Rattus norvegicus: one gene and its partners. The protein of the gene in region 3 purifies or fractionates together with the protein of the main gene of each other region. This does not show direct contact. Links are inferred from orthologs where the notes say so. Each region holds a gene or a part of one and is shown on either strand. Other genes may lie near its edges.

Region 1 (3,649 bases), on a different chromosome or scaffold from region 3:
TAGCCTCAATAGGCAGTTCATCACATGCACAAATGCATATATATATATATATATATATATATATATATATATATATATATACCCATAATTAAAATAAAAATAAATCACATATTAAGCTCTGGGCTTGTTTGTTCCTGTCTGTGTCTAGACATTTTTTTCTTTTTTAAATAATCACAATGAGTTTATTGGGATGGTTCCCACTTACCTGGATTCAGGGGTTTTGTTTCTTCCCCTCTCCTGAGAAGCCCCTCCTGAAGCCCTGCTTCCTCTTCCACAGGCTGGCAGAAAACGGTGGAGGCCAACACACAAGACTAGCATTTGTTCGTGGCTAACAGCCTGGGGTTTATAGTGTCCTGGACATCTCACAGCAGGAACTGGGGCTCTGCACCAGGCCCTTGGATTTCTCCTGTTCTTGTGAAACAAGAGGCACATTTTGTCCTGCAAGACTTGAATAAAATTTATGTGAAATGTCTTAAGAACCAATCCATATATAAATTCTATTTCTCTCTTTAATGACCACATAGAAATGTCAGTAGAGTACATTTTCTAAATCTTTATTATTATTATTGGAGTGGGGATCACATGCCGTGGTACATGCAGAGGTTAGAGGACAACTTGGTGAGTGGGCTCTCTGCTTCCACCTTATATAGATTCCAAGGGTCATATTCAGGTCCCCAGACTTGTGTGGCAAGCACCTTTACCTGATAAGCCACATCTTGCCAGCCTAATGTATGGTAGTGTAACTTTTCCTTATTAAAGATATTGTTTCTATTTTTCATTGTTCTATAATTTATTGAAAAAAATACAATAGTAGAAGCTGGGTACGGTAGCACATACTTGTAGTCCAACACTTGAGCAGCTGAGGTGGGAGGATTAGGAACTCAAGACCATCCTGAGCTATATAGAAAGTTCCAGGTCATCCTGGGCTACATGGTGAATCATAGTAAAAGTTATAAAATAATAAAAAAGTCCTTTCAAAAGTAAATAGAGATAATATGGATTGTATAAAAGACAGAGGTTCAGGGCTGGAGAGATGGCTCAGCAGTTAAGAGCACTGTCTGCTCTTCCAGAGGTCCTGAGTTCAAATCCCAGCAACCACATGGTGCTCACAACCATCTATAATCAGGTCTGGAGCCCTCTTCTGGCCTACAGGCAGAAAGCTGTATGATGTATATATACATAATAAATAAATGTTAAAAAAGAGGTTCAGTTATTAAATTCCACTGTCCAAAGATGGACTCAAGAAGAACAGAGAAAACAGACAGCAGCATCCACACAGGCCTGGTCTGCAGACATGAAGCACCACAACTTTAGATTGAAAGTGCTTTCCAAATGCACAGCAAAGAACAAAAATCCAGAAATGTCAAAACACAAGAAGATTCCAAAAGCCCGGGGTAGGCTAAGGTGTCCGGGAGAGAAGACAGATGAGGCCTTGTTGATGGACAGTGAGGGTGTGGAGTTTGCTGGTGACAGTAGGTGCTACACTAAAGGAGCTTTGTACACAGACGTCCATCTTTGTTTGTTCCACATGACAGAGTCCCGGCCTTGCACCTGCCAAGCGCCTTGCGCTTCCTAGGCAAGCGCTCTACCACTGAGCTAAATCCCCAACCCTAATCTAAACTTCTTTAAATGTGAGGGTAGAAGAGAGAGCTTTCCAGTCATGCAGGGATTTCTACTCTTCAGCAGTGAGTGAGGCAAGCTTCTCCATCTGCTCTGGGCTTGAGGGAAAGCTTGCTCGAGTGTTCTGTCACCCGTGGGCTTTATGTGCACTGCAGTCATGCATGCCGTTGGAGGAGGATGTGCTGGGGTAAAGCGTTCAGATGCACAGCACAGGACACCAGCCATTTCACATGCTTACTTGTAAGGGTCTACAGATCTTGTCCTAGTGTCTGTCAGCCAGCGAGAGGCAAAAGAGGGTTGGTGGGGGTGGCTTCTTCCCATGTTTCCTTTGTTTTCTGACTGACTGTCCTGCCTCAATGGGATATTGGATATATTCCAGTATACACTGTTGAAAGGTTGGTGAAAATGGATTAGACAAATCAGGGCAGAGAGGAGGCTTGGAGACTTAGGTGTCTGGGTCATTAGCAGCAAGAAGACCTCTGCTTGTCTCGAGCTGGGCTCAGTAACGCTGTTCTTCTCACAGCACTTCGGTCCTCCTGAAGTAAGATAAAAACAAACTACATGAGCTTGAAGTTAGTTTGGCACTGCTAGGCCACGCCTCACCATGGCTTGGCTTTTGTTGGCCCATCAGGTTTCCTATGTAATTCGAGATGAAGTGGAGAAGTACAATCGGAACGGAGTCAATGCCCTGCAACTGGACCCAGCACTCAACAGACTCTTCACAGCAGGTCGAGACTCCATCATAAGAATATGGAGTGTCAATCAGCACAAGGTAAGGCAGGAGTCGTGCATTTGGGTTAACTCGTATCTTGGACCAGTGGCTCTGTCTGATGGAGCACCTCTCCTCAGTCCTGGCTTTAATCTCAGCACTGAGCTCCTTAATATATTGTATAAAGACATCACCATAGTCCTGTAAGCCTGTGAGAAAACACCTCCAGGGAAGTTTCACAAGTGTTTTTACTTAACTCAGACTCGGGCGCCATAAGTTAGTTTGCCGTAGGGGTTCCCCGCACAGAGGACTGAGAGTACTTGGCTGCTGCGACTTGAGACTCTCCATGGAATTCTGGCTTAGTTATGAATCCAAAAAGTCTCTGGATAACAGTGCTGAAAATAGAAAAACAAAATGTTGAGTGTGTGTACTTTTACAAAAGCGATTAAGGACCTCCTAACACGCTAGGGTCTTATTGGCTAATGTGGTAGGTATGAAGCAGCAAGGGCTACTCTCTCCTACTCCTCAGGGCTTCCTGAGGCTTTACTGCTACTTTTGCAGTGCTGAACATCAAGTTCTGGGCCTTGTGCATGCTAGACAAGCACCCTTCCACCACTGGCCTACGCCTCAGTTCTGAAGGGCTTCTGCGTAAGCAGGGAGGACACTCGCATGCGTGGGGAAGGAGAGTTGCACAAATGGGAGGAAGCTCTTGGGGTTTGTGAAGGTTACACTGTGAATGATGTAGAAAAATTGGGGAGGGGGGCATTTACTGACCTCTTATCTGTGCACCTAGTCCACCCCTGCTCACCACTCTCTGAATTTCCACAGTCCCTCCCAAGACTGTTAGCACTTAGAATCCCGATGGCTAAATGGCTAGTGTGGCAGTGAATTGGAGCTTAGACTCACTTCAGACTCCTGATCCAGAACCTGTTTAAGTCTGCCTTTTAGCCTGCTCTACAAACCAGTGTTCAGGGCAGAAAGAGGGTACTTGGCATAGCTGCCGGTAAGGTTTCGACAGTGGATTTGAGTTCTTGAGCAGGTGAAGGCAGTGTCAAAAGCATGAAAGTAAGAACGTGTGTTTTGTGTTTGCCTTTGCACCCCTGGGGACTCATGTTTGAATTAGACTATTGAGTTTTTGGGAGTTTGCAGTATTTTTAACAAATCAAGAGAAAATTAAAAGACCTTGCCTAGAAGAATCTGGCTGTCCTGCCCTCAGATATCTTTTCACTGGTTTTTATGACAAAGTCGCATGGCCTTGGTTCTTAGACAGGCAGAGCTATTCTCTTGCCTATGAAGTATATAAATGTGTCTGTCTGGGTG
Region 2 (4,356 bases), on a different chromosome or scaffold from region 3:
TGAGGACCACCTGATCTACAGATAGTCTCCAGAGAGCCAGGGGTACACAAAGAAACCCTGCCTTAAAAACAAAAACAAAAAAACAAACAACCCCAGCCCCAAAAGCATTTTAAACAGGGTGTGTGGTTCATATCTTTAACTTGGAGTCAGAGGCAGGTGGATTTGGTCTCCTATTGAGTTCCAGGACAGCCAGGGCTATTTAGTGAAATACTGTCTCAAAAAAAAAAATTGTGGTAGTGCTATTTTGTTTTTGCTGGCATGTATGAAAGCTATAGGATGTAAGTGTCAAATGCATTATTACATCATTGGCACAGTTTCTACTGTTTATGTACTTGCTTCCCACTACATAAAATGGTTATGATTTACCTCCTTTAGAACACTCCTCTCTTGTGTACAAATTAATTTTTGTGAGGTTGGAGTGTTGCTCTGTGGGCTCAGGTAGCCGCCTCCCACCCTCTCTGGGCTCAGGCACTTCTGTCTGGAAGCACAGGTGCCCCCCACTGGGCTCGCTCCACTTATTTTCCGCTCTACAGACATGACTTCTCAGGGATAGTTCATTCTTCGTCTATCATTTTTCCCTATTCTAGAATTCTATTGTAACGTTTATTACTTTAGAAGCCTTCGTATTCCAGTGCACATACCTAGAAATCGATGCATCAAATGCTGACTGTTTAGTTCTACTTTAATGAGAGTATGCTTGTCCTTTCTAAAGTCTAAATAGTCTAAATAGACTTTGTACAGAACATTCGTTACAACGATATGGTTCTCCTAGCAAATAATTTCAGGTTCCGTTTGAGGCTTTAGAAAAGTCAGCTAGCTCTACCTTTCTTAAGCGGCAAAGGAGACTTAAGTTCTAACACAACCTACTTTCTCAAGAACAAGCCAACGCTCACGTGAGGTTTCAGATGAGACTTGGAAACACATTTAAGCTGTTCTTCCCACCCCGCCTTCAAAACAAAACAAAACAAAACCGTGAGGGGTAATAAAGCTCAATCCTTCGATATCTTCTGTGAGACTGTTTTTGGGAAGCGTAGAGCGTCTTAGCACCCAGCACCCAACCGGACTGTCTGAGTCCTCCTCAGCTTCCAAGGGAGGATCGCGTACAGCTGGGACGCACAGGTCCAAACACCGGACTTCACTGCTCGCCTCAGGCTTCGCCGGGACCAGCAGCCGGCCGAGGTCAAGGCGGGGCCCTCCCTTAGGGAAAGGGTCTCTCAGCGAAGCTGCAGAAAGAGATTCACCTTGGTGCAGACCGGTTCCTGCACCAATGCTCGGCACGCGCGCTTCCACCAGCACTCAGAGGGCGGCACCCAGGGGGCGGAGTTTGGCGCACGCCCCTCGGGGTGGAGCGCGCCAGGTGAGCGCGCGTGCGCACTTAGACTGTAAACTGGCCCGCCCCTTTCGCTTCGGCCCGCCTTCATGGGGGCTGGCTCGCCAATGGGCGGGGCCGCGAAGAAGGGGGTGGGGAGTGGAGAGCGAGCGGCCGAGGACGGCGCCTGCGCGGTGGGCGTGATCCGGGCACTTAGGGCAGGATGAACGCTGCTTTCCAAGATGGCGACGGAGGGAGGAGGGAAGGAGATGAACGAGATTAAGACCCAATTCACCACCCGGGAAGGTCTGTACAAGCTGCTGCCGCACTCGGAGTACAGCCGGCCCAACCGGGTGCCCTTCAACTCGCAGGGATCCAACCCTGTCCGCGTCTCCTTCGTAAACCTCAACGACCAGTCTGGCAACGGCGACCGCCTCTGCTTCAATGTGGGCCGGGAGCTCTACTTCTATATCTACAAGGGGGTCCGCAAGGTACCGACCCGGGCGTCACCGGGGGCACGCCGGCGGTGCCGGCCGAGGCCGGGAGCTGGGCGGTGACAGCGAGGCCGGGGTGACCGGTGGGGGCGGCCGGCACTTGTACTTTTGAGTGGGCCGGTAACTCCGTTGAGGTACTCTGAGTGGAGGAGAGGGTGTTTAGGAGTGAGGCGCCGGCGGCAGCGCTGCCTCGAAGGGGAGGGGGCTCTGGAACCGGGTCGCGGGGATGCCCCGGGAGTAGCCGGTCGCCTCTCCCCGGAGGGGTCCGTCAGGTTCCGATACCGACAGGGAGCGGGCCTGCGAGTCCCCGGAAGAGATACGGCGGCCGTCTTAGGTGGCCTCGCTTCCCGGGAGGCTCGAGAGTCCTGCCCTGGGTGAGAGAACCGGGACGCGAGGAGGCTTGGAAAGGTCCGTAAGGCGGAACCGGGACAGGGAGGCGGAGGACTTGGAGACTAGGTCAGAAAGGACCTGCTCGGCACGCAGGGCTACTCCACCTGCTGCCGCACTGACACTTCTCCTGGTGTCAGCACTGTTTCCAAAAACCTTCCCGGGAGGAAGGCTGTCATTGTCTCCGCGGAAGGAACCTTCTCCCGAAAGATTTTTGAAGAGGGTCATTCTGTCCCTTGTAGTATAATAGGGCTGAGTACTCAGACTAGGGAGGTTGAAATAATGTTTTCAATAAGCTAAGTTGCTTCAGAGGTGTTCTGTGTGAGCGTGCCTAGATTTATCTTGTCTAACAAGTCAGGCTATGTCCCAAACAGGGAGGGATAGGCCTTAAATGCTACTTTAAGTAACCAGCCAAGAACTTAACAGTAATTCTGTGACGCATGCCATCGAGTTTTAAAATATCTCGTTAAAAGCAATTTATTGGCGCTTTTTTTTTTGTCATTGGCAATATAACTATGTTCCAAGAACTGCTTATTTTAACTTTTGACCATTGAGAGAGTGAGGAAATGAACGCACTCCATAGCACTTCCGACAGAAGGTGACAAGGTGATGGAAGATTCACTTATAAATGTTGAGATAGTGGGGAAGTGAGTTGTCCATATTGAAGAGGACATGTTCCCAGGGATGAATAGATCAGCTGCTTTTTTTACGCTGTACTGTGTAGGTTAGGAGGACAAGGAAAGGGACAATGGTATGGTATGCAAACGTAGCTTGTTTCTTTGGCCCAAGGTGATCTTCTGACTTGTCTTTATTCTTGTCAGTGTACTAACCAAGTGTTTGAAAATAGCTGGCTGACTCCTCTTTCTCTCTCTCTCTTGGGATTAGGAAAGTATCCAGTGGTTTGAAGTGTAGGAACTGAAGTTTTAGTGCTGCTCCCAACTCTGTTACTGACTCATTGGTGACCTTGGATATGTGGGAAACTTTACTTTGCGCCTCTTTAAAAAGGGAGGGCTGCAGTGCACATGTTGTAATTCGTAATGGCAGTAATGGCAGTAATGGCATTAGAGTCCTGACACACTCAGGAGATGTAAATTACAGTTAAAGCAAGCTTAGGGAGCAGCTGCCATCTCAACATGCCTGCTCTGTCTGAAACAGCAGACTTTTCTCTGGAAATAAATGTTACCAACACCTACCTTTAGGGGCTGGAGCAAAGGCTCAGTGGTTATTGACTTGTGCTGCTCTTGCAGAGGACTCCAGTTCAGTTCCCAGCACCCATGTCAGGCTGCTCACAACTGCCTGAAACTCAAGCTCCGGGGAATCGCATGTCCTTTTCTGGGTTCTGGGTACCCACTTACAGCTCACACAATAAGTTTAAAAATAAAAGAAATCTTAGAAAAGTATAATTAGACCCTACCATGGTTGTGTATACCGCAATCCTAGCACTCAAATTGTGGCTAGCCAGGACTATAGTTGGCAAGTTCAGGGCCAACCTGTGCTACAGTTAGCACATCTGAGGCAAGCACGGGCTATATGGTGGGGCCCTCTCTCAAGAAAAAAAAAATCCAAAACCAGGTGGGTGTGGTAGCATGCATCTTGACAGGTGGATCTCTGAGTTCAAGACCAGCCTGCCCTACATAGAGTTTCAGGCCAGCTAGGACTACATAGTAAGAACCTGTTTCAAAAAACAACTCCCTCAATCTAAAACCAAAAAGACAAAAATAGTGATGATGTAAAAATACAATGTGCTTAGAAGTTAAATTTGTGGGGCCTGGAAGAGGGCTCAGTAGTTAAAGAGTACCTGGTGTTCTTCTGAACCTAGATCCCATCTCTTACTTCAGGCAGCTCACAGACACCTGTAGTTACAGCCCTCTTCAAACCTCTTTGGGTACCTGCGTACATGTGGCATTCACATATATGTGTATAAATAAATAAATAATAAACTTTAAAAAGTTAAATTTACTCCTAGTGATTACTATTACTAGTTCAGTCATCACTTCCTATCCCCCATTTTTGTTTCTTGCCCCCCCCCCCCCCATTGTGGCCAGGGAGCCCAGGCAATTTTGTATCATTCTCATGACACACTTCATCTGGATCTAGTAGCTCTGGTTTGCATACAAAAAAAGGTGCTTAGAAGTATCTTTATAATGGTTTTTTTTTTTTTTTTTT
Region 3 (3,137 bases):
CGCCCTCCTCCATGCTGGCTGTGCTGCTGGGCAGGGTCATGCGGTTGAACTGTCCCTGCCCCAGGTGTTTCTATGGCATGTGCCACTTTAGAATCTAATAAGCATGCTTGCCACGTGAGGCTGGACAGCAGCTTGTCATGAAGAGACCCACCACCTAGTATAAGTGTGGTCCCTGTTAAAGGCATAACCAAAGCAAATACTTCCTTTGTCCCTGTTGCCCCTTACAAGCCCAGGTCTGTACTCCGGCCCTTCCACACAGAGTGTGTGAGCCTCCTCCATGGGTGCCAACACTTCCCGAGGACCCAGAGGCAGGCTGCTTGGTAACCACATGTGCTCAGTGCTCACTGTCTCTTTGGAAATTCTTCTTCTAGGATGGCAAGGTCAATGGAGTGACAGAGTCCACACGCATCCTGGGCTACACCTTCCTTCACCCCAGTGTGGTGCCTCGCCCCCACGTACAGTCGGTGCTTCTGACTCCACAGGATGAGTTTTTCATCCTGGGCAGCAAAGGGCTGTGGGACAGCCTGTCCATCGAAGAGGCTGTGGAAGCCGTGCGCAACGTTCCAGATGCTCTAGCCGCCGCCAAGAAGCTATGCACCCTGGCCCAGAGCTACGGCTGCCACGACAGCATCAGTGCTGTGGTGGTGCAACTCAGTGTCACGGAAGACAGCTTCTGCTGCTGTGAGCTCAGTGTGGGAGGGAGCATGCCACCGCCCAGTCCCGGAATCTTCCCGCCCTCCGTCAGCATGGTGATCAAGGACCGGCCCTCAGATGGGCTGGGCGTGCCGTCCTCCAGCAGCGGCATGGCATCTGAGATCAGCAGTGAATTGTCTACCTCTGAGATGAGTAGTGAGGTGGGCTCCACAGCTTCTGACGAGCCGCCGTCGGGAGCCCTGAGTGAGAGCAGCCCCGCCTACCCCAGCGAGCAGCGCTGCATGCTCCACCCGGTCTGCCTGTCCAACTCCTTCCAGCGCCAGCTGTCCAGCGCCACTTTCTCCAGTGCGTTCTCTGACAACGGCCTTGACAGTGATGACGAGGAACCCATTGAGGGCGTGTTCAGCAACGGCAGCCGGGTGGAGGTGGAAGTGGACATCCATTGCAGCCGGGCCAAGGAGAAGGAGAGACAGCAGCACCTGCTTCAGGTGCCAGCTGAAGCCAGTGATGAGGGCATTGTCATCAGTGCCAATGAGGATGAGTCAGGTCTGTCCAAGAAGACAGACATTTCTGCTGTGGGGACCATTGGGCGACGCAGGGCTAACGGCTCTGTAGCTCCCCAGGAAAGGAGCCATAATGTAATAGAGGTTGCCACAGATGCACCTCTCCGGAAGCCGGGAGGCTATTTTGCAGCCCCTGCTCAACCAGATCCAGATGATCAGTTTATCATCCCCCCAGAGCTGGAAGAGGAAGTCAAAGAAATCATGAAACATCACCAGGAGCAGCAGCAGCAGCAGCAGCAGCAGCAGCAGCAGCAGCAGCAGCAGCAGCAGCCACCACCTCCACCCCAGCCGCCACAGGCACAGGCACAGGCACAGGCACAGGCACAGAGGCCCTTCCAGATGGATCACCTGCCGGACTGTTACGACACACCACTATGACCCAGCCTGCGTACTGTTTTAAACAATAAACTAACCAGAGAGGCCGAGAGAGTGTCCCAGGCTCACGTTAAACCAGGGGTGTTGCTTCATGCCCTCTCCCAGACACTGCCCCGCCTGTCTCTGCAGCTCATCTCTAGGCTCTCTTTGTATTAGTTACTTTTAATAATTAACCACTTTTCTTCTAGTGACACTTTACCAATATGATTTAAATTTGTTAACTTCTTTCCCTAACATATCAACTGTGTAAAGACAAAGAACAAAAGGTTTAATATATTACAGAGAAACAGTAAATGATAATGTAATATTTTTAAAAATGGCTTTTTGTTGTTTTGTTCGTTTGGAAGGCAGGGCTAGTTGCCGTTGCTAAATGATTTAATAATACTGTAATGTGTATTTCTTTGTGGGGAAAGCTTTTTTTTGTCTTGAAAATGATAGACATTTGTAGAATATGGAGACTAACTCCTAGGAGTTGCTTTACTCTGTCAGTGACTTAAGTCACTGGGACTCACTAATTTTCTCTGAGAGAACAGTTGATTGAGAAATTTCTATTGTAAATAGCTCAGTGTTACATAATGAAGCTTAAAGTGTTTGTAGTCTTGGCATAGGGACACGGCCGAAATAACTGACTCCTTCCTCGCTCTGCAGAGCCTCCCCTGCCCCAGCCACCTCGCCCATGTGCAGTGTGGGCCATTTGCTCAGTGTGCTTCTGTGCAGATAATGTGGCCCTGCTCTCGGGAGCCCAGAACCTTTTACAGACACTTTTTAATTGTGTTCCTTCCTGCTGCCACAATCAGCATGACTGTATAGAGTCCCTTAGACCAGCCACACATCCAGAGTTATATGGAAACAGAATGCCCAAATGGACATGTCGTAATTTTTGTTATAATAAATATGAAATTTACAAGTACTGGAGCCATCTGCTTTTGTCTCAGCATCCCGGTGTGTCTTACAATCACACCAGCTTAGGATTGGAAGGAATAGGTGGTGGGGGTTGAGATTAACCCACATGGGTTTGGGGTTTGTTTCCTTAACACTCAAGTTCAGCTGCATACAGTGAATGAGGTAGTGAAATTGACCTTCTGGTCAACTGTATGCACAACTGCTGTTACCCTTTTCTTTCTATTATTATGCAAGGTAGACACTAAAAGAGGACTGAGTGGACACTGCATAGAGGAGAGCCCTGCAGAGAACCTGCACACCTGCAGAACCAAGATGGTTTTCAACCCTTCCAGGAGACCATGTGTGCATCCCATGCACCTTCCGTAGTGACTGTCAATTAAGAGCTGTCTGTGGAAGACTGGGGACATCTACTCTACCTGTCTCCCCTCAGGTGTGCACTGAGTACTACTTGGCAGCCCAGACCACTGACCGAGACCACAGAATGAGTTTGCTCATTACAGCACAGGGTTGAACCCGGTGCCTGAGGGAGCTGTGTTTCCCAAGTGTGGCAGAGGCACTGTGCCTTGAACTGGAAGTCGAGTCATCCCAGGGCATGATCCTGTCCGACTCTCTAGCCCTTCCCTCCCATACTGTCCGTCATAC

The links.
Region 1: the proteins of Phlpp1 (region 3) and Wdr48 purify together in Homo sapiens (affinity purification with mass spectrometry; 5 studies listed by BioGRID and IntAct, with this or other methods). This does not show direct contact. The link is inferred for Rattus norvegicus from reciprocal best matches to the Homo sapiens genes PHLPP1 and WDR48.
Region 2: the proteins of Phlpp1 (region 3) and Wdr20 purify together in Homo sapiens (affinity purification with mass spectrometry; 4 studies listed by BioGRID and IntAct, with this or other methods). This does not show direct contact. The link is inferred for Rattus norvegicus from reciprocal best matches to the Homo sapiens genes PHLPP1 and WDR20.

Annotation. Positions count from the first base shown.
Region 1 is NC_086026.1:128,506,195-128,509,843, forward strand, and holds part of Wdr48 (WD repeat-containing protein 48), read left to right. Parts: intron 1-2,251; coding exon 2,252-2,392; intron 2,393-3,649. UniProt on the Homo sapiens protein: Regulator of deubiquitinating complexes, which acts as a strong activator of USP1, USP12 and USP46. Enhances the USP1-mediated deubiquitination of FANCD2; USP1 being almost inactive by itself.
Region 2 is NC_086024.1:135,571,825-135,576,180, forward strand, and holds the start of Wdr20 (WD repeat-containing protein 20), read left to right. Parts: upstream 1-1,421; 5' UTR 1,422-1,551; coding exon 1,552-1,800; intron 1,801-4,356. UniProt on the Homo sapiens protein: Regulator of deubiquitinating complexes. Activates deubiquitinating activity of complexes containing USP12. Anchors at the base of the ubiquitin-contacting loop of USP12 and remotely modulates the catalytic center of the enzyme.
Region 3 is NC_086031.1:23,043,119-23,046,255, forward strand, and holds the end of Phlpp1 (PH domain leucine-rich repeat protein phosphatase 1), read left to right. Parts: intron 1-371; coding exon 372-1,595; 3' UTR 1,596-2,501; downstream 2,502-3,137. UniProt on the Homo sapiens protein: Protein phosphatase involved in regulation of Akt and PKC signaling.